Linked DNA regions of Xenopus tropicalis. The protein of the gene in region 1 purifies or fractionates together with the protein of each later gene. This does not show direct contact. Links are inferred from orthologs where the notes say so. Each region holds a gene or a part of one and is shown on either strand. Other genes may lie near its edges. The genes, in order: tbc1d15, ubac2 and ubxn8.

Evidence for each region.
Region 2: the proteins of tbc1d15 (region 1) and ubac2 purify together in Homo sapiens (affinity purification with mass spectrometry; 3 studies listed by BioGRID and IntAct, counting the BioPlex papers as one, with this or other methods). This does not show direct contact. The link is inferred for Xenopus tropicalis from reciprocal best matches to the Homo sapiens genes TBC1D15 and UBAC2.
Region 3: the proteins of tbc1d15 (region 1) and ubxn8 purify together in Homo sapiens (affinity purification with mass spectrometry; 3 studies listed by BioGRID and IntAct, counting the BioPlex papers as one, with this or other methods). This does not show direct contact. The link is inferred for Xenopus tropicalis from reciprocal best matches to the Homo sapiens genes TBC1D15 and UBXN8.

Annotation. Positions count from the first base shown.
Region 1 is NC_030679.2:60,043,635-60,050,857, forward strand, and holds the end of tbc1d15 (TBC1 domain family member 15), read left to right. Parts: intron 1-1,895; coding exon 1,896-2,012; intron 2,013-3,123; coding exon 3,124-3,210; intron 3,211-5,228; coding exon 5,229-5,441; 3' UTR 5,442-6,585; downstream 6,586-7,223. UniProt on the Homo sapiens protein: Acts as a GTPase activating protein for RAB7A. Does not act on RAB4, RAB5 or RAB6.
Region 2 is NC_030678.2:121,147,981-121,155,824, forward strand, and holds the start of ubac2 (ubiquitin-associated domain-containing protein 2), read right to left. Parts: upstream 5,194-7,844; 5' UTR 5,012-5,193; coding exon 4,981-5,011; intron 1,760-4,980; coding exon 1,632-1,759; intron 1-1,631. UniProt on the Homo sapiens protein: Restricts trafficking of FAF2 from the endoplasmic reticulum to lipid droplets.
Region 3 is NC_030677.2:97,447,724-97,454,946, reverse strand, and holds part of ubxn8 (UBX domain-containing protein 8), read right to left. Parts: intron 6,751-7,223; coding exon 6,634-6,750; intron 5,414-6,633; coding exon 5,273-5,413; intron 4,327-5,272; coding exon 4,285-4,326; intron 2,672-4,284; coding exon of another isoform or gene 2,582-2,671; exon of another isoform or gene 1,743-2,581; intron 1,712-1,742; coding exon of another isoform or gene 1,601-1,711; exon of another isoform or gene 1,568-1,600; intron 1-1,567. UniProt on the Homo sapiens protein: Involved in endoplasmic reticulum-associated degradation (ERAD) for misfolded lumenal proteins, possibly by tethering VCP to the endoplasmic reticulum membrane. May play a role in reproduction.

The DNA.
Region 1 (7,223 bases):
CAGCATTAATCTACTTTCTTGATGCCAGATCAGTGACCCCAAGAAGTTGTTACTCTTTTAAATTCTTAGGCTAAAAATCAAACCCTCTCCCTAAAAAAGAAATTAAGATCATTCTTAGATTGTCTCAGAATGTTACTAAAATTTAAGCTTGATTTACCTCTTTAAGAATTTCTGATGCCGAGGTTATACTGTTTATATAAGGGTAAAAATATAAATAAATAGAATATGACAATGTGAGTGCACACCAGAATGCTGAAACATGGTGCATGAAAATCACCATTTTTGTATCGGCTCTTGTTTATGTTACATGTGAAGAGAGGCATAAATGACTTTTGACCCTGTTTATATGAATATATACAAAGCCATTTTAACTTTCATGTTAAGTAGAAAATGTATAACAAACATCAAATGGCCCAAAGTCACCTCCAGTTGCTCTATGTTAATTCCTTTGTGAGTAGGGTTGCCACCTAGCCAGTATTTGACCAGCCTAGTTGTTTAATCACCAGCTAGGGCCAGCACCTGTATTACAAATTTACCAGCAATGTACTTGCTGGTAAATTTGTAATGCCCTATAAATCCCTCCCTTCAGCGACTCTCTCCGCTTCCTATCACTCTTTATAATCATGAGCTGCCCTCTGCTCCGCCTATAACCACGCCCATTTCCTGGCCTCATTCACCTTTTCCTCTCCCCAAAAGGATGTTGCAAACTGCTCCCAACCCAAAGGCTGGTATTATTGACAGAAAAAAGTGGTAACCCTTGCTTTTTCATTTTTTGTCTTACGATGTGTTAATACAGTACAGATGTGTTAATAAATTAGGCTTTTATGTTTTCTGTGCTCCCGCATTAGTTATATAGATGTATCCTGTGCTGTTAGGGATAATTATTGGATAACCTGCCTCACCCTGTAGTGTTTTACCCATACTGTAGTGAATAAAATGTCCATGGGTACCAAAGGTGTTTTATAGGAACAGATTTCCATTTCATATGTTATAAAAGAAGACATTATAAAGTGTGGTTTAAAGATTTATGTTGCAGAGGTAATGAAGCTAATAATCATGGTAAGTAATGGTAGATTTAAGTGGGGTGGTTATAGCAAAAAATTTACATTATTTTTTATCAACAGCCATATCTTTCCCTTCTGGGAATCACAAATGGATGTATTGAAATATGGCTTCAATTCTGTTCACTCTGATATTTATCTTTGCTATTATAGATTTTTGTCTGAACTAATGTCACCTCATTATCTATATGTAAGTTTATTTGCCTTCTAAACTATTAGAAACTCCATATTTGTTTTAAAAAAAACAAAAAACCTTTATCACTGTCTGTATAGAGTACATGCATAATGTTTCACTTTGTGTAAAAGAAAGAGAGCAGTGTTCTGATTTGTTAGAAGCAGTTTTCTGGTTGCATAAAATGTCCTTAGTGCTAGGCTCCAGGTGAGGGCACTCATGTAGCATCTGTCTTACAAATAGGTTGCCGCTTGCCATACAGTTACTAGATTGACATATGCTTGAAGAGAGCATCCAATCCATCTGTCATAGCCCATAACTCTTCTCTGCTATCTTAATGTGTTTCTAAACTTCCTTTTAGTATTTATATTGCTTGAAATTTCAGTAATAACTGAATCAGATTGGTATTCCAGTGCTTTCTAAATTATGGCCTTAAGAAGCAGAAAATTTTATTTCACATATTTATTCGATTGAAAAATCGATTTTGCACAAATAAAGGATCACATTTTTTCAATACAAAGTCCTGTGAGTGCTGTGTCTATTCCTCGATTATATACTGTTCTCCATACTTGGCACTGAAGCATTTACGGAGTTTTTGGTGTGTGCCCTATTTACCGTGACATTTACCACATATATTAATAAACATAGGTTATATTTTACAGGTAATATGGACAGATCTTCCTTGTCAGAATTTTCATCTGCTTATTTGCTGTGCTATCCTGGAATCAGAAAAACAAGTAATTATGGAGCAACATTTTGGATTTAATGAAATTCTTAAGGTACGTAGAGTCATTAGTCTTAGAATTATGGCAGTTTGGTTAAGCAGCCACTAGTGTTATTGTACCAAAACTGAGCAGACAAAATAGATATAAAGATGACTAATAATTATTTTATATCATCCCTATGTCTGTTCTGAGTGATAAAATAAACTGACCCAAGTTGAAACTGAAGTTTAGAAATCCAAATTTATTGCCATATTGTATAGATGTTGGCAGTTGACCTTCCAATAGAATAGTTGGGTAGATTCTGCCCCCCCAACTTGTGTCTGACCAGCTTAAGAATCAAAAACAAAATAATTGCTGAGTGGGATGCACCAGTGCCAAAATGAAATTTGGTTAAATATTTTTAAAATTTGATTTATTCAAATCAAAAACATCTCCAGTTAAATTGGGTTTAGATATACCTCTGTTGCCCTTTTCTATTTTTGTTAAGCTACATGCTATTTTTTTTTTTTTTTGGAAGGTAACACATCCTACAATACAAGAGGATAAAGCGCTAGTCTTTCTTTTCCAGGTCAATTATACCATTAGAATAGACTCTGTCCCCATGGTTTGTTACAGACATTAAAAGAATGGGTATAACATTACAGAGTATGGAATCTGACAGCAGTTCCAGCATATTGGGTCCATCAACCAACCGAGCTGGGTCAAAAGAGGTGGGAAGACTCTGTGAGTCATAAAATGTATATGTGTGTGGAATTCCTCAGTAACCCTCTAAGTCACACCAAGGACTCCAAACTCTATCAAATTTATCAGGTGCGCCCCTAGTCTCATACGTAAGTTTATGTAGGGTAGCGACAGTGTTCACTAAGTTCTCCCAGGCTGTAATTGCGCTACTTGCTATTTAATGCGCACACAACACCCTGTGGTCATGAAATGCCAGTCCATTCAAACATCTTCAGTATACGTTTAAAATACATACATTTTTAAATAAAAAGACAATCTCTTTCTATAACTGTAACCATTATCAACACCAGCACTGTTATTTTTTCAAAATCTTTAGGCTCGAAAAATGTTTATTTAAATTTACTGGGTCTACAAGATCATTGTAAATCACTGCTCAGCTGCCTTCTCACTCCGGAAATTATTTATTGTCATTTTTGTTATTTAGCACATCAATGAACTTTCCATGAAGCTGGATGTTAACGATGTTCTAAGCAAAGCTGAAGCTATTTCTTTGCAGATGATGAAGTGCAAGGTAATTTAATGTAGGCTGCATATTTCATGTCAATTTGGAGGGATAGAAATGGCAGGTCTTTTTTTTTTTGTACTGTTTTAGATGTGGTAAAACATATGAGCTGCATGCCTTGATTACATTTTAATGTAGAAACTATACAATAGTCAGCAATATCAGCTTTTAACAAAAATGTATTATACAAATTAGATCATTAAAGGGTTTGACCTGAAAATACTGAATACCATATAGCTACATGACGTGTATTTAAAGCTAGATATATGCAGGACTTTGTGTATTTAAAGCCAGATATATACAGGTCTTTGTGTATTTAAAGCTAAAAATATGCAGGTCTTTGTGCATTTAAAGCTAAATATATGCAGGTATTTGTGTATTTAAATATATGCTGGTCTTTATAGGTACTTCAGCACACAAGAAGGTAACAACAGAAAATGATTTTATCACTTAACTTGCAAACAACAACCCCTAAAAAGTTTATTATTAGGTTCATTAACTGCCAGAAAAATTAGGTTGACTTTTCTCTAGCACTTGACTGCCATGATCACAGCTTTTATGGTTTTTGGGTTGCTCTGTACCACACCAAGTATTGTCTGGCAGAAAGAAAAAAAGGAAATATGTTATTTACAGTTTCTGAATAAGCAGTCTATATTTGTTATTGGGATCTTTTAGCGAAATCTCTCACCATGTACAAATTGTAGTCATCAATGATACATTCTCTAATTGGTCTAATATTGGACGAATAAGTGATATGCCACAGGTTTCCCTTATGGGTCCACTTTAATTTAAATTTTTTATTAATAACTTGAATAAATGCATTCAAAGCATGACACAAACCTGCAAAACTGAGTGGGACAATTAAATACATCCAAGAAGTGTTATCCCTGTTATTAGTTTGGGCTAGCTGAGTAGTAGATGAGATTTCATTTTGACTAATGTAAGGTCATATTTATTTGAGATTTAAAAAGATGCAGTCGACTTATACCTTAATGGAACTAAGGTTAATCCTTGATTGTGTTGTACCCTGAATTACTCATGAATAATAATCTTAAATGTAGCAAGCAGTGTTAATAAGCAGCAATAAGGGACACATTTTTCGCTTAAAAAGCCCTGGTAAGGTCCCATATGAAGCAGCTATACTTGCAGATACATTTGTTTAAAAAAATGGTTTTGTAACAAGAGAAAACACAAGAAAACTGAAGTTACTTTGTTACAGAGTTGATCCAGGGACTGGTCCAGTTGACCTTTTGGAATTTGGTCCAATGGTTTGTCTTCTTTTTTTTTTACCTCATGCACTATGTAACAACTAATCTATATGTAGGTAAAAAGAGGTATACTAGAGGTAAAAAGCCCTGCTCACCAGAGCTTACAATCTAAATGCTGTTTTGCTTTATGAAGAATATATGTCTCTGTGATGCCCTTTATGTTTTTGTGGTCAACATTGTATGATGTGATTGAGGTTTTAGGACAGACCTTAAATACCATTAATTATAGAATGTTTAAGTGGGTAGCAGCAAATTTAACACCCTTGTTTGATTAATTAGCATTTAATTATGGGCCATGGCCTTATCTGAGCCATAACTGTGAGTACCAAAAACAAGGATGTCTATGTTATGTAAAACAGTACCATGCTACTAAATTTTTTGTGCTTTGTTCATTTCAGCACCTGGAAGATTGTAGGGGGACCAGAAAGCTATAATTTAGGTTTTAATGGGTTGCTGTGCAGCCCGTAGGCACACAAAAATATCTAAAATCAAGAATGGAAGTTAAAGTAAAAGTTTGATGATAGAACCTTGGATATATGCCTTCTTAGCATGTGCTCAACAATATATTCATTCCATTTAGGTGCTCAAATACATCTTTGATTTTGACGTGCAACCTAGAAATAGACTTTCATCTTGATTTTTTTATGATTGTTAATGTACAAATGACCCCCATGCTAATAGCATCAGTCACAATGCCATGATGCCTACCTGATGGCCACAGTGTTCCTGGTAAAAGTTCTGCTTTGCTTTTTGTTGCAGGATTTACCACTGAATGTTTGTGATGTTATTGGCATAAAGAACAATGGTGTTGCAGGACCAAATGAAGCAACAAGTGAAGAAAATCTTGCCAAAAAACATAAAAAATCATCACCTCAATATGTCCCAGTGCCTGTTATTGCTGCCAATGGAACAAAAAGTGCTGCAACCCTACAAACTTTGCCAAACAGTGTTCACACACCAACTTCTGCCTGATAACACAAATTCCTGTGAACCAAGGGGGACTCACTGAAGAAAACTCACGTAAGACGATTTTGGAGAATTTCAAACATTTTTATCTACAGCAGCAACTTTTCATTAGAGCTTTTCAAAAGGAAAGATATGAACAAATTATTTTTCTAGTGGACACAAACCACCTCTATTCTGTTTCTGTCATTCCTTAAGCCTGTCACTGAGAAAGCAAGTTTACATTGTAAACTGGAAAATATTTATTTTTAGTGGCTTACATGACAGCAATGAAAATAAAGCAACTTGAAGATCATGTGTTTTATATTCCTAAAAAAAGTACAACAAACAGAAGTTTTGTTTATAACTGCGAATTGTGTTTCCTTACTTTGTAGTAATAACAGATTACTGAAAATTGTGTGCATTTAAGGAGGACTCAACTACGTTGTTTTTTGTAATCACATTTTGCAGTGTTCAACAGCGTCTAATATAATATTCCATAGGAAAGTATCTGAGGATTCCAGATATAATGTATACAAATAATACACGAGCAATTAAAATGCATAAATCTTTCTATACAAGAATAGTTCAGAAAAGACCGGGACTCTAGTACTTTCCTAATTCTACTTAAGGTTTAATAAGGAATCTGATTACTGAGTTTAACTTTCCCTTGCCATTCCCAAGTACATTTATCCTTATAAATGCTTTCATTTAATGTTAAAGAGATAACGTTGATATATTTTGAGCTAAATGTTAATTTAAACATTTATTGTAACCAAACTGCATATGAATATTACTCCTTTCAGTTAATACTCAGCATTGCAATATTTTCCTATGTTAGTAAAAAAAAAAAACCTAAAGGAAATAATTTTTATTAAGCAAAGCATTATTTTCATTAAATTATGCTCCCAAAGCTGCACATATTGCTGCAGAATGGTGTGAGGACAATATGAAAACAGATTGTTACTTTGGTGTTGGAATTGGTTTATATTCACACTGGTGATTCAATCAGATGTATTTAACAGTCTCAATAAATCGTGCATTTTCAGCTTGAGATGCATTTAGTGTCCCGCATGATTTTTGGTTATGTGTTTTGAAAATAAATTGCTAAATGTATTAAATGTACAGTAAATACTGTAAATAAATAAATCTGTAATGATTTGTACAGATATTTCACACAGCTTTTTCCTTTGCTTTAATGTTTGGTGTGTTAATTGTACAATATGCATGATGGGGAAATTAGAGGCTTGGCTGGAGGAGATCTGACTGCTGATACAGTGTTATAATGTTACGAATAGTTAGGCTCATGCCAAACGTGGCAGATTCTCGGCCTGTGGATAAATGCAGGCCTACAAATCTCCCCTACACTTGAATCGGTGCTCTTCTGTGTCTGTACCAGGAGCCAGTGCTCCAGCCCAGGTACAGCACACACAGTTGGTTTTAGTGCATACTCGCACATCCACTCTGCACCGTGGCTCCGAATGCAGACAAGGAAGAGTGCTGATTCAAGTGTAGGGACAGATTCTCAGCCTGCGATTGTCCACAGGCCGAGAACCCAGAATGTGTGGCATAAGGAAAGGAGGGAGTTGTGAGAGAAATACTACTTTGATTCACATTTATAAATCACTTTAAAATTATTTATTGGAAAAATGTTTAGAATTACATGTTTACCATTAAAAAAACACTTTTTAGCACTTAAATCTCAATAGTCACAATTAACTTGTACCCAAAACAATACATTGCAGTTGCAATAATTATTACCTTTATATGGAACAACAGAGCTCCTAGGACTGCCTGGACCAATTGTGTCTT
Region 2 (7,844 bases), on another chromosome or scaffold:
TAGGACCATTTTCTTGAAAGAAAATTATTTTGTTAAAAAAGGTGCAACTAATATAGCAGCAAATATGACAAAACAGCCTGAATTGCCCCAAATCCATTTCAATAAAAGCTAATGGACATTGTGGTACACAAAAGCAACCATTGCCAGAAAACATAAATATCTCCACTTCAATTTAGCCAATGCCGACAGGTCCACTGAAACTAAAACATTTAAAGATCTCTCTTGGCTCTCACTGCATAACATTCACTGAAAGCCCAACTTATAATCACATGATTATGTTTACCCACAAAAGAAAGTAAAGGTGGCCATACACGAGGCGATTTCGCTCGTTGTGCGATGAACGATTATATCGACAAACGATCGTATGGCGATCGAGTTCCCATACGATATGCCATCCACGGGCAACGATAATTTGGGAAAGATTTTGTCGCATCATTATCGTAAAATACCTACGATCGTACATCTACGTACGATCGATGTCGTTGACTTCTGCTGCTGGCAATCGTGACATGCGCAGAGAACAATCGTTGAAAGACAAATGTCTGACACTCACACCAACTGGCAGATTTTATCGTTAAACGACCAAAATTTTTAAACCTGGCCGATCGATTTTGGGGACGATAATGTCGGCTCGTTTAGTGGGCCGACAATCGTTCGTACACCACCAACTATACGATAACTTAACGATAGCATCGGATCGTTCGGGAATCGGTCGTTTGTAAGTAAAAAATCGGTCCGTGTATGGCCACCTTAACAGTAATTATGAAACAATTGTTTTTAGATCTGATTCCATTTGTACCATGTACCACCTCTGTATTCATTTTATTAAATTTACATAGCTTAAAAATAATAAGATGGCAAAATACAGTTAAAATATAGCTTAATATTACATTTAGTTAGCTGGAAGGCAAGATTTCCTGTAGGCTGTGAAGTTTTAGCTACATATATAGGTTGTGGTTTTCTGTTGTGCTGCTACGGACCGTCATCATTCAGAAATAAGTAACATCCTTTTTGAAGGCTATAAAAGTTATAAAAGTTTCTCTGGAATCTTTGGGTTAATGTTCCATATGACAAACATGAATTTCATAAACATACTGCTACAGTAAGGCCTTAATATTGACTTTGCTTACATTTGCCCAAGCACAATAAATCACTTAAAGGAGAAAGAAAGGCAAAGTCACTTAGGGGTGCCAAAATGTTAGGCACCCCCAAGTGACTTAAAACGCTTACCTTTTACCCCGGGCTGGTGCCCCTGTTCGGAGAGAACAGCACCAGCGCTTCCTTCTTACTCTTTCTCGTGCACGCGCATGCGCAGTAGAGTGAAAAGCCAAACTTTAACAGAGAAGTCGGCTTTTCACTCTACTGCGCATACGCCGACCGCTGGCATTTTAGGAAAAGGAAGCAGGAAGTGCTCCGCTACAGGTACCCTGAGCTGGTGCTGTTTTCTCTGAACAGGGGCACCAGCCCGGGGTACAAGGTAAGCGATTAAAGTCACTTGGGTGTGGCTAACATTTTGGCCCCCCCAAGTGACTTTGCCTTTCCTTCTCCTTTAACAGCAGTGCGGTAATTAAGCAGTGTCAGCAATTTATTTGAACAAAGTATAATTGTGAGCACAGTATTAGTCAACTTACATGAAAATCGTCTTTTATTGCTTTTATATTATAGAGAAACAACTCTTGTTGCTGTTGAAACAAAAATGTCAACACAATGGAGAGAAAGCTTGGGATAAGTAAGAGTCCTTTGGACAGCGGGGCTTTATCTGTAGATAAAAACACAAAAACATGTACTTTGCACACAATACATTTTCTATTAGGATAATTATTATCCTTTACATAGCAGCAAAATATTATACTGTGGCTTAATGAATATTAAGTAGGGTTAGCAAATTTTCTTCATATGGACACACTGCTTACTAAGTAAATTTTCAACATTATATGTTCTTTTAGTTCAGGGACATTTTGTGTGAAGAATTTTTTACTAAAGAAAATTAAATTTTTTCAGGACATCGTAAGCTTTCAATATATGTATGAAATAGTGTGTAACGACACGTTGGTAAAAAGATATATAATTCTTAATATATAAAACTAGCATACTTTTCATAATAAAAGTATATGTTCTAGAAGCATTAGCAGTGAGCACACTTGCCCCTTGGAGTGGGGGAGCTGACTTGTTTAAAAGAAATGGGGCTATTTGGCAATAGGGACAGCATGTGGGAGATTATTTAAAAAAATGACCTAACCCTTTAAAGTGCTTTTGTGTTTCTTATTATTCTGTTTATTTTGTCCAGCTTATGTAGAGAGTGCCTTGCTCAAACAAAAATTAAAGAAATCTCTAAGAAAAAAAAGGCTGTGACTCTGGAAAGAATCAGATACATGTGCATTCAGGGTTTCATCTTAATAATAAAGGAGGTTGCAGTTACTGATTAATTGCATGCATTTACATATATTCTAATTTTAAAATGCTTTTGTATGAATGTTTTGTATGGGTTTGTGGTTTCCTGTAAGGGTATTTCCAATAGCAGGGACCTCATTTTAATTATTTTACTTCTCATTTTCAAAATGTAAATTTGCCCAGAAAAACAGGAACCAAAGATGTTCTTGAAGGTCAGTGCTGTAGTAAGTAAGGTCAAGCTGTAAGTGCACATTTACTAAAGGCTACATGCAACCTGGAATCACAGACCCTTTTTGAAAGCTGTTGCTGCACACTGCTCCAGATTAAAAATCTTGACATAGCTGTCAGGAACACAGGAAAGTTCTCCTCAGTGTACCCCGGTGCTTACACGTTTTGAACAACACAAATGCTAGGGACATTCTTAGGCACACCCATGTGCCACCCACCACTTCCTAAATGCAGAGATGCATTCTAGGAGGACAAAGTTCTATACAGGCCCAGATTTGTGGTGAGGCCACAAAGGCCCGGGCCTAGGGTGGCAGAAATTTAGGGGCGACATGCTGCCCTGCCGCACCAGAAAATTTTGCCGGCATATGGAGCAATGGGGAGAGGACAAGCATAAACTTTAGCGCGTCCTCTCCCCAATGCTCCATATGAGTTGTGATGCACATGTGGGGGGCTAGGTAGATGCATGTGCGATCGAGGTGGGCGGGCGGGCGGCCATAGGGGGCAGCCTCGGGGCGCCCCAATCACAAATCTGGCCCTGGTTCCATACAAAGAAAAATAAATCCAGATAACTTTAATTCATTAGGCAATGGAATGATGTCCTTTTGAGAGTCTAGAAAACAGCATATCATAAAAAAAATATTAATATATTAATGTCTAAATGAAAATTATTGGAAGGCCATCTCCCAGATACTCCATTTTAATCAAATATAATTCAACATTTTAAAAAGTATTTCCTTTTCCTCTGTAATAATAAAATAGTACCTTGTAACTTGATCCCCATCTAAGATATAATAAATGCACAGTGGAGGCAAAACAATAACACAGGTATGGGATCCCTTATCTGGAATCCTGTTATCCAGAAAGCTCTGAATTACGGAAAACCCGTCTCCCATAGACTCCATTTTATTCAAATCATTCAGAATTCTAAAACTGATCTCCTTTTTCTCTGTAGTAATAAAACAGTACCTTGTAACTGATCCCAACTAAGGTATAAATAATCCCCCCAGATGCTGAAAACCCAAATATGGCACTACAAGCCACAATACTGGGCTCGGTTGAAGCCATGGAAAACGCCCCATACCGAACACAAGGAGACATACAGCATACTACCCCTATCATAAAGCTCACGCATAGACTGTGGCTCATGGCACTGCGCAAATTAGGTATAGACCCACCACTGCTTTCACCCAGGCTCCCCCTCTGGAACAATAGTAACCTAATTCACCTTACGCAACTACCTCAATTCCAAATCTGGCCTATAGCAGGTATAAAAAGGCTCAAGGATATACTTGAGGAGAACTTGTTCCCCACATACACTGATCTTAGAAGCAGGCCCTTGCTGACTGATGCTAAACTGTACCAATACTTACAGCTGAGGGAGGCATTCGTGGACCAATTCCGGGAAACATCCCTAGTATATGAGAATTACCTGGCCTAGGATCCAGGATTTCTGGATAGACATCACCACACATATGTCAAGTCACCTTGCCTATCCTCCCCTCCTCTCATCATACGCCTGCTTACTCGGCATCCTGGAGGACCAAGTAGGAAGCATTGCCTCTAGACTATTTGCCCGATCCCTACTCTACTATGCTCGGAAATGTATTATACTTCGCTGGATGGGACCCAAACCCCCCCGGAAAAAGCAATGGATCAAGCTCATCAACGGAGCCCTACCCTCCATTAAATTGACATATCTTGCCAGAGGATGCCCAGCAAAGTTTGATAAAGTATGGCAACCATGGCTGGATGTGGAAGGGGACCCCCTGCCTACAACAGCAGACACCCCAAATTTACCATATTAACCCCTTAAGTCTCACTAACCCCAATGCGAGCAAATGTGCAAACTCCCTACCAACCCTTCTTCCCTTCTCCTTTTCTCCCTTTTCTCTCCCCCTCTCTTATATTTGTTTTATTTGTTTGGAAAAAAAGGAAAATAAAAACATTTAAAAAAAAAAGGTATAAATAATCCTTATTGGATGCAAAACAATCCTATTGGGTTTAATTAATGTTTTATTGATTTTTTAGTTGACTTAAGGTATGGAGATCCAAATTACAGAAAAACCACTTATCCAGAATACCCTTTTTCCCAAGCATTCTGGATAACGGGTCCTATACCAGTATTAGGTTTCTTCAATGTTTAAACAATTTTTTAGGAGACTTAAGGTATGGAGATCCAAATTACAGAAATGTCCCTTGTACTGAAAACCCCAGGTCCTGAATAACAGGTCCCATACCTGTACATTTATTGCTAACATGGTTTCATTTAACAGCTTCTGAAAGGTTATATTCCAAATTTACATGGCAAAATATAATACTCATACACACAGCCACAGCTCTGTGACAAACTTTACTACTTACAGAGCCCGCTCGAACCAGTACTGGCAATCATGATGGCTTTTCACCTGTCCACAGCAAACGTCAAAGCAAACATTGATCACCTTCTGTTGAAGAATAAGTTACCGGGATAGGTACTTCCAAAAATACAAGTATACACCTTTTACAGCCCCGGTAATAGGTAAACTACCTATAGTAGATTGCACTATACTCCTGCATAGCATCCTTAGGATTTAAATCTGCAAAAAATGTAAAATAATTGAATTGAAAACTTGAAACTTAACCAAAATTTGTAACTCAACATAAGCAAATATTGCTGCAAAATAATGGAAGACATGTTACCAGAAAAGAAAAGGAAAATATTTGCAAATCTCAGATTGGTACTACGGTCAGCCTGTCTGCATTTTCAGGCCAAAGCCTACACAGTATAGCTGCACACAGGCCGACCCAGTGCCTGTCTGTGGAGCTACACATAGCTGCGGATGAAAGCAGATCAACTTTTTTTTTTTTTTTTTTTTTAAATGTGACTGTGCCCTAAGTTCCCACAGCCTTCTTAATGTTGCACATGGCACAGGTACTGCCCTCATATGTCCTCGCCCTCAGCTTTATCTAGTTTTTTTTATTTATTTAAGTCATTCTTGAGGACTTCCACCCTCCTCTAAGTTTGGCATTGGTTCCAATGTGTACCAAGACTGCTGAGTCATACCTATCCCTAGCACCTCTGAATAGTCTCATTCAACCATATGCCAAACCAGGCAAGCAATACACAGTTTGTGTGTAGGGTCCTTGCAACAGATAACCCAATCCACAGGGTGTTGGGTCCCAACGCACAGGTGAAAAATCCTTGTATTATATACACACTTACGAAGACAGGTGCTAAACTGACAAAAACAACAAGTCAGATCTTTGGTGTCATATTATACCTGCACCTGTGCAATTTAGCATCTATGTTTGTAAATCAAACATAGTATGTCCTGTGTAACGCGGAGGTGCTATAAAAAAATAGGTTTGTTCCCATGTGGAGAATACAGGCTCCAAATTATTTTAGTCCTCAACTTCAGTCTACCTATAAGTTTTTTAGACCTATTTGCCAACATTCACTTTCAAATAAAGATGCAGATTGTGCTGACAAAGTCTGGCATAAGCATGTAGTTTGTTCTGAATTCAACCCCCTAAATAGAAGAGATTGGGCAGCAATGACATAGCCTTGCTTTCATACTAATGCTGCACTCTATCCCAAACTCTCCATTGAACCACATGCAAAGTGCATTACCCTCCTAGGAAGGTCAGAGGTGCCACTGGCAACCTACAAAATCCACCAGCTCCCTATTAGAAAAGTACCTAACCTTTGCATATATATGAATAAAGGCACTAAGGCAGAGTATATCAAGCCTAATTGTTTCCTGCTGTAAGATAAAGCTAAGACGCAGGCGATCAGTATCCTATTATACCCACTACTTCTCATGTGAGTACTTGGTGTATTACTCAGCTGTAAACATACAGAACGCCTGCCTGTATAAATTCACAAACTTTACGTATCTCTTCCTCTTTTCCAACTACTGTGCTAGTCCTTAGAGCGCAAACACCGTCCTGATACTATAAGCCCAACAACACGCACAGGAGGTATATCTTAGCGATTACCTACAAGCAGGAAGCCATTGCAAGGAAACACATATCATTAGACTACTACTCCCGTCATGCATTGCGAAGTACAGTTACGGGTCGCGATTTGGGGCATTTAAGGTAATGAGAATAGAGAGATCGAGCGTAGCAATGCAAAGAATTTGCGCTAATATTCCCATTTACCAATTACAGGAGTTAAATGTGAACTACATTAAGCTACACTGTAGCCGCCCCCACACTGGGGCGCCTTATAGGACGGGTAGAGTGACCCCTGGGATGTACCCTAATATTTACTAGTGGCGATCCCTACCCAGTATCCAGCGCCGTACAGATAACTTAGTCCCATTATAACCACAGTAAAGCAATAACGTTAATCTCACACTTATCCACCCGTGTGGCATTCGGTAATACTGTTAACCACTTAATGATGTGACCACTGAATTAACCATGAGTGCCCTTAAAAGATTTTCATCCACTTAAAGATTTAACTACTTTAACATTAGTGCTCTCAAGTTAATGCCAACCAGACTTGATAGGCGGTGAGTATCATTAGCGGGCTCTTGTACCTTGGTACATATCTTCTTGGTTTCTTGTATTCCCTTATACTTGGTATTTTATTTAGTCTACTTTCTGGTTTCTACACCTTTTGTGCATAGTCACTTCAACTCTTGGTGTAATACCACCGAAGTTTCTCTGTAAATATGGACCCACTTTTTTAAACTGGATCCACTTGATGGCGACCCACCCTCTACTTCAGTGATCCCCAACATTTTATACCTGTAAGCCACATTTAAATGGAAAAAGTGTTGGGGAGCAAAACAAGCATGGAAAAGGTTCCTGGGGGTGCCAATAAGAGCTATAATTGGCTACTTAATAGCCCCTATGTGGACTGGCAGCCTACAGAAGGCTCTGTTTGACATTATACTTAGTTTTTATGCAACCAAAACTTGCCTTCTTACTAGAAATTCAAAAATGAGCACCTGCTTTGAGGCCACTGGGAGCAACATCCAAGGGGTTGGTGAGCAACACATTACTCATGGGCCACTGGTTGGGGACCACTGCTCTACTTAGTTTGTACTTAGTTTATTATTTTTCATGTAATATATTACTGTATACCTATATGGCTTTGAGAGTGCTAATAGGTTTATATAGTTCTTCCTGACATACAAAAAGAACTCTCCCTATTAATACTTCCGTACATATTGAGTATCCTGGCACTTTAATCTGATTGCTAGGGCCTTGTGTCCAGGAGACAAATTGGCGTT
Region 3 (7,223 bases), on another chromosome or scaffold:
AGGCGTCTGGTGTATATTTTTGGCAAGCTAAAAGTCGATTGCCGAAAATAGCGCCATCCGCCTCCTACCTGTGCCTGCACCTGAATTAATGGAATACGCACTTTTCCATTTTTGCAGACACTTTTGTGAATTTGTCGTTTAAACAACATTTATACGACGTTTTAACATTTTTTCCAGACATTTTTCCCCAACATTTTCAAAATGGAGTAAAGCTCAGTTACACCTCTCATAGGGGCCCCATTGGGGGGTCATTAACATATTAATGGGGATTAGTAGACTATAGTTAGGGGACAAGTTTTTGTCTAACCCTAGAACAATATATTGTAAACATTTTTATTTAAAGGAAAAGTAAAGCCTCCCAGGCAAATTTTCACTGACATTTGCCCCAACTTATCTATGCCCCCATAGCAAGGGCAGAACTACAGAGCTGCCTGACAGCATTGCCCCCACCCGTTCCCAGCAGCCATCTTGGGTATCAGCAAACAGCACCTACACACTGGCACCCAAACTGGGATATTGGGGTACAGGGTTGGACTGGCCCCACAGGGCACTGGATAAAGACCCGGGGGGCCCTAGTCCTGTTGGGCCCCTATCACTGGGCATGTTGGTGTGTGGGCCGGATTGCTGCTGCCCAGTAATGAGTAGGGGCTAGAGAAGAAGGTATTTAGACCCTTACATCTCGTTACATAAGGGGAATTACACAGAAATATAGAAAGCCCAGCTTGGCCTGAATGATGTATAGTTTCCCTGGGTAAAGTAAAATTACCCCTCAGGAAATGCCCCAAAGTGAAATGCCAAATCCTGCGGGTAAATTCCTTCCCCTGAGGCTCCTGTAGCTGTGGGACTGGGTTTGGGGGCACCGACACATTTACTAAGAGCTAAAGGCAAATTCATACAAAATGTCGGTAAAATGACAAAATCTGAAAACTGTCTGTTTAAAAGACAAATTCACAAAAGTGGATACAGAGGTTTGTGAATATGGTGGAAATTCCGGCAAATCTATCTCCACTTTTATTTTGTCTCAATATCACCACTTTTGTGAATTCCCCCCATAGAGAGGTGTCTGTGAATCCCACATACAGGAGCCTTTACACACATAGTTGCCTGTGCAGAGGTCTGTAATATTGCTTAAATTGATGTGTCACCTGTAAGGAGGAATTCTCTTCTATACACTCTTTTGTTACACCTGTATCTGGATATTGAATTAAGGTTTGTATCTGCATGTGTAAATTGCAGGCAGCTGATCTAAGCTTGCTGGTGAGCAGTACAAACCCAAATGCAAATGAGCCTAAAGTGCTGTGTATATGAGGATATAAACAACAAGCTGCTTTACTGTTATATGTACAAATGCAGATTCATCAGCTCCCAGCCCAGCTCCATTCCTTTACTTTCCCTTTTCATGTGTTTGCTGTTAAGGGGTGTGGTCTCATGACATTCCACAGAAAACCAGCTTTAACCTGCCATAAGTAATTGTGGGGACCAATAGGGTTAACAGTTTTTATGTTGTAAATCCCCTACAACTGCTATTCCTCTAGTTGCTAGACAAAAGCCTGTGTATCTAAGTTACCTTATTTACATATCTTTGTTATTGGCCCATAGATTAGTTATCACTATAGTGATCTCGAAAACAGTGGTTTTTACTCTTTGGCCTTCCATCCTCTCTCCAGCTTGATGTGTCTGGTTTCCACAAGGCCCAATAAAGAGTTCTGCCCTAGAAAGACAACACTTCTAATGAAAGTCAAAGAACAGGGACCCCATCAATGCGGTTTAGTCAGATTATAGGACTAGCATTGCTAGATTACATTTGAGGAATATAAGATAGCAAGGAAAACTAAAAGGAATGGCATTGTGCTCCACATAGGGATTGATAGCTGGAGGTGGCTCTCACAATACTGGCCTAAAGTGAAGGGCAATTTCCAGTGTTTGCTCCTCACTTCAGATACCTTGTGTCCCAGGTCAAAATATAGTCTGACGTGCCCTCTTCTGCCTTATACGTGACAATGATGAGGAAAAGAAAAAAAAATATATAGTGTAATATTGTTAATTACTTTCCAACATGCACTTCCATATGTGTATCCATTAATCACTAGTGATTACTTTACTTATATCACATCTTCTTGTCCGCAAAATATCCTTTTCCAATTGTTATTCTACTTACAGACCACTTGGGTTTGTGTAACATCCAATAATATCACTTTCATTGACCCAGAAAGATAGATAGTGTTAAGAACCACTCCAAATAGGTAAATACCCAGCATTAAAGAATTTAAACTCATTCCACAACGTATCCGTTTCCCTTCTCTTTCGATACACTTACTGTGAGGCAAATGCCATATGTGTAAAAATATATTTACTTTAATGCAATTAAAAACTTAACTGATACACTCACAAACACAATATATGGTGCACTTATCGAGAGTCACTCGCGTGACTCGTGTCACTGTTCGCCACCTGCAGTTGTTGCTCCTGGGTTCAGTCCTGCCCGATACAGTGCTCCTCTCCATGTGTTATTGCTATTGGTATTGTTTCGGCGCACTAATATGTTTGTTGATTATTATTATCAGCAAACATCATTGCTAATTTACCACCACAGCTGCAATTGCAGTAATGCAAAAATGGACGCAGCAATCATCAGCAATCGACCAGGAAGTGTGGGAGAAAATGCTCCATTCTGGGTAAAAAACATGGTGAATTTTATCTGTAATTGCACTTTGTATAGTGCACTTGCACACACATGACTGTATTTTCTCATAATGTACTTGTGCCTTTGAGTAAGTGCCTGCTTGCTAATATAACCCAGAAGGATTTTATTTTTAGCTGATCTAAATAAAGATGCTATTTTAGTGAAGCTCTGCTTTTCAATACCCTAGGTGTGCCAAAGCAAAGGATTGTCCTTAACTCAGCAACAGACTTGAAAATGCAGTACCAGGGCCCTAACAGATGCCCTAATATCCTTATTTTTCATACTCACTGGCAGAAGTCTATTTAGTTATCCTAATCTATAGCCTCTTGAGTTCCAATCTGCATGCCTGTTAACAATGCTGAATTCTTAGGGCTCTGGCACACGGGGAGATTAGTCGCCCGCGACAAAACTCCCTGTTCGTGGGCGACTAATCTCCCCGAGTTGCCTACCCCTGCCATCCCACCGGCGAACATGTAAGTCGCCGGCGGGATGGCAGACGTGGCGGGGCGATTTCGCGCAAATCATTGAAAAAGACTCGCGAGTCTTTTTTGGCGATTTCCTGAAATCGCGCCGCCGCGTCTGCCATCCCGCCGGTGACTTACATGTTCGCCGGTGGGATGGCAGGGGTAGGCAACTCGGGGAGATTAGTCGTCCGCGAACAGGGAGTTTTGTCGCGGGCGACTAATCTCCCCGTGTGCCAGAGCCCTTATATAATGACTTACTCTGTCAACACAGCAACATTCTTTAATTATACTCAACTAAAAATGTTGTTGTAAATGGTTTAAAGGAGAAAAAAAGGTAAAAACTAAGTAAGCTTTATCAGAAATGTCTATGTAAATACAGCCATAAGCACTAACAGTAATGCTGCACTATCAAAAGAAACACAGGATTTCTGGTCTCTCTTTTTGTAAACATGATGTTCCAGTGTCTGTCTTCCTCTCCCAGAAACATCCTTAATTCCTGTGGCCAGAGTCTGCACAGTTCTCTTCTCTCTCCCCTCTCCTGCTCCTCACTCCCACTAGAATGCGAAGAACTCCCACCCCATCCCTTAGGAATGTGTGATCTGAACTAAAAGGGCTAGACTGCAGGAAGGAAGCTACTGAAAATGGCAGCTGCTATCTTAAGCAAATGGAGAAAGCTTCTAAAGCGATTTACTCAGGTATGGTAATGGTTTCTGCAGAATAAATATATTGTTCTAGGTGGCACTAATGTGGCAAATCTATTGGCAGTAAAATGCCAAAATGAATTTGTTAGTATTTGTCAGTGTTCCATTTACAATGTTGAGTTACTGAAATGGTGCCATATGTGATGATTATTTAGTAGTAGTGGCAAATTTGCAACAGCTTATGTCACTGCCCCAGAAAGCTACCGCACACAAGAACATTTAAAAACTTTTGCCGAGTAGCAGTGGCAATGGGAAGCATAATAAGCAGCCACTGTTTTTAACAGAAAAGCCCTTTGTTTCTCATTTGGCAACCAGTGAAAAGGATAGTCATTACCCTGGATGCCACTTAATTTGCCTAAGCTTCTTTTGAAAAGCACTTAGGCCTTAATAATATTGTAATAAGTATAAAATCAAAAGCACCATAAATGTTACTTACCCCATCCCCTACTTCAGAAGGTTCTTCTGGCAAAGCAATGACCTTTAAATAGACAAAAATATATTAAGTGCTGTAAGAACTTTTTAGAGCATTAAAGTTGCAAGCATTACTCTGCTTAGAAGCAGTTTGAAAGTGGCATGGTGGGTGGGCATGGGGCAATTGGAACCATGCACTTAGTGATCCCATAAGCCTCAATTGTGGGTGAGATGTGACTTGATCTGGCATACCTATTTCTGGGTTAGTGTATTTCTAGACCAAAGATCTACTAAACTTGCTCCATCGTCTGCAGATTTATACTTGCAAGAATTAGATTTTGAGAGCCCAATATATGTGTTACACCTAAAGTGTACACAACAAAAACAAACAAAAAAGAACATTAATTATGTAGGAAGGCAAATCAGCCAAGAGCTGGGTTTATTTCAGAGGTGGGTGGGGATGCAGTTTTCTTTTCCAGGTTCCTTGGCAGTTCTGTGATTGGCCAGGAATGTTAGTTGCACCTAGTCTTCAAAAAGGGAAGTAACCATGTTCTTTGTCTCTTCAGACCTCACTTGCTGGAGTGGGAGGTTGGTGCAGGAAAGCCTGAGGCCTCAGTAGGAGTAGTTAGTGTCATGAAGGATTCTATTTTAGCTTACTCTAGTAGTGAGAGTAAGGCTCATGGTAGTAATTGGAGCAGCCAGAAGCCCGCTGAGAAGACCAGAACGGTTAGGACCCTGCAGTATCACTTGCCAGTATAGTGGTTAGGCTCACCCCTTCACCCAAAAAGTCAAGTAACCTATTCAGCAACATGGTCAGTGCCTCAACTGAAAAGGGAACGGCAATACATTATATATGTAACGTGTACTCTGCGTGAAATGAAAATGACATATCAGACTTGTTTATGTATTGCCTATGTTTGCTTTGATGGCAGAAAACATACAAATCTGACAAAAACATTCAGAATATATTTCTTATGTTTTCATATGATACACTGAATGTAATCAGAAAATACCTTTCTAGGTTTGGGCTGCTCATCTTTTGGCAAGGGCTTGGTGACTTGCTCTGGTAGTTTTCTTTTCCTTAAAGCCTCATTATTTGCACTCTCTGTGCCATGGGCTGAATCACTGCATTTATTCACACCCTCCTCAGCCTCCTGGTTTAAAAAAAGAAAACATTAGACATTAGCTTCTGATTTACTAGTAGCAATTAAGACTTAATTGACTAGTATTATTGACCAGGGCTTTGATTTGGCCATTGTAGACCTATTGTGTTCTTGAACTACTTAGTATTACTTTAGCCTTGTGTTTGGAATCACTGTCCAGCTATAGGGTGAACATTCTCCCTGGACTAAATTTTAAGCAGGCAGATACAAGTGCCCTTGCAGAATTTCCATTTTTTTTTTTTCCAAAGTTTTCTTTCTTAACAAGCACAATGCATGCTGGAAATGAGCCCACAGATGATACGACTATATTTCAATGTAGATACAGTGGTTTTTAAACTCTGGGCAGAGTTAGATTTAGAACTTTGGCCAAAAAGCTCTATATTCTCATATAATCACAAAATCTTTTCCCACATCATCATGCTTTTTGGGAAAAGGTTTTGCGATATAAAAAAGAATAGCAAGGAACTTGATATATTAGTTGTAAAACTTGAGTCCATCATATTTGAGGCTTAAATTCCATTTCATAGAATTATAGTCATGTTCTAAAGTGGGAGCATATTATAATTCATAAACATATCATGTCTGCCAAGACATTTAAGAGCATAAATGTAAAAAGTTGGTATCACATCTTAATAACAACATTTAACAACATAATAACATCTATTATCAGGAATGCTTGGGACCAGGGTTCTTTTTTTTTTTTTACAGATAAGGATTCTTTCTGTAATTTAAATCTCAATATCTTAAGGGCTCTGGTACACGGGGAGATTAGTCGCCCGCGGGAAAACTCCCTGCTCGCGGGCGACTAATCTCCCTGAGTTGCCTTCCCCCTGCCATCCCACCGGCGAACATGTAAGTCGCCGGCGGGATGGCAGACGCGGCGGGGCAATTTTGGGAAATCGCCGAAAAAGCCTCGCGAGTCTTTTTCGGCGATTTGCGCGAAATCGCGCCACCGCGTCTGCCATCCCGCCGGCGACTTACATATTTTTTAATATTTTTTATTAGCTTAATGCAGAGAATGAGGACCTCATTTGTCTGTATATCCTTACACTTGCCTTACATAGGGCATCCACAATATACAGTACTGAACTGCCTTATGCATTTTTATCTGTGTGGTGAGATGGCAACTTCTGTAATGCTGGCAGTTCACAAAAGCCAGACAAAAATACATATGACAATGATTTTATGTATTAAAGAAAGAACAAACTTACACCTAGCCTGTAGCCTTGAGATAATGTCCATCGTTGTGTTTTACCATATTTTTCTTTTTTCTTTTGAAGCTTCAGTTCTTCACGTGGCTTTAGAACATTCTCAGCATGCAAATTAACCTGATTATGACATTGAACATTGACAGAATTTCATACTCAATTTAACAATTTGATTTGAAAATCAATATTGGTTACAAAGAAAATTCTCTTATCTATGCAATATCCTCAGATTCCCAATCCCCAGAATGCGTCACATTATGTTTTGATAGATACAAGTTGTATGACAAGTGCATTCTCATAAAATATTCAATAACACTGTAGTACTCTATGCTTTTAATTTAGCCCAGTCTGTGTTTTATTAACTTTAGGGCTATGCATAATCATAGGCAAATGCTGTCCTGGTCCAGTAACCCTCACCAGTCAATCAGCTGATCGAAGGCAGTTAAAAATTATGAAAGCAAGTATAATAAACATATGGGCTATGGGCTTTTAGGACTAGGGTGAATTTTGACTAAGTTTGTAAATAACCTCGCTATGTACCAATTCAGCCTCCCTTAACTGACAAATATTACCCCAAATGATTAAAAATAACA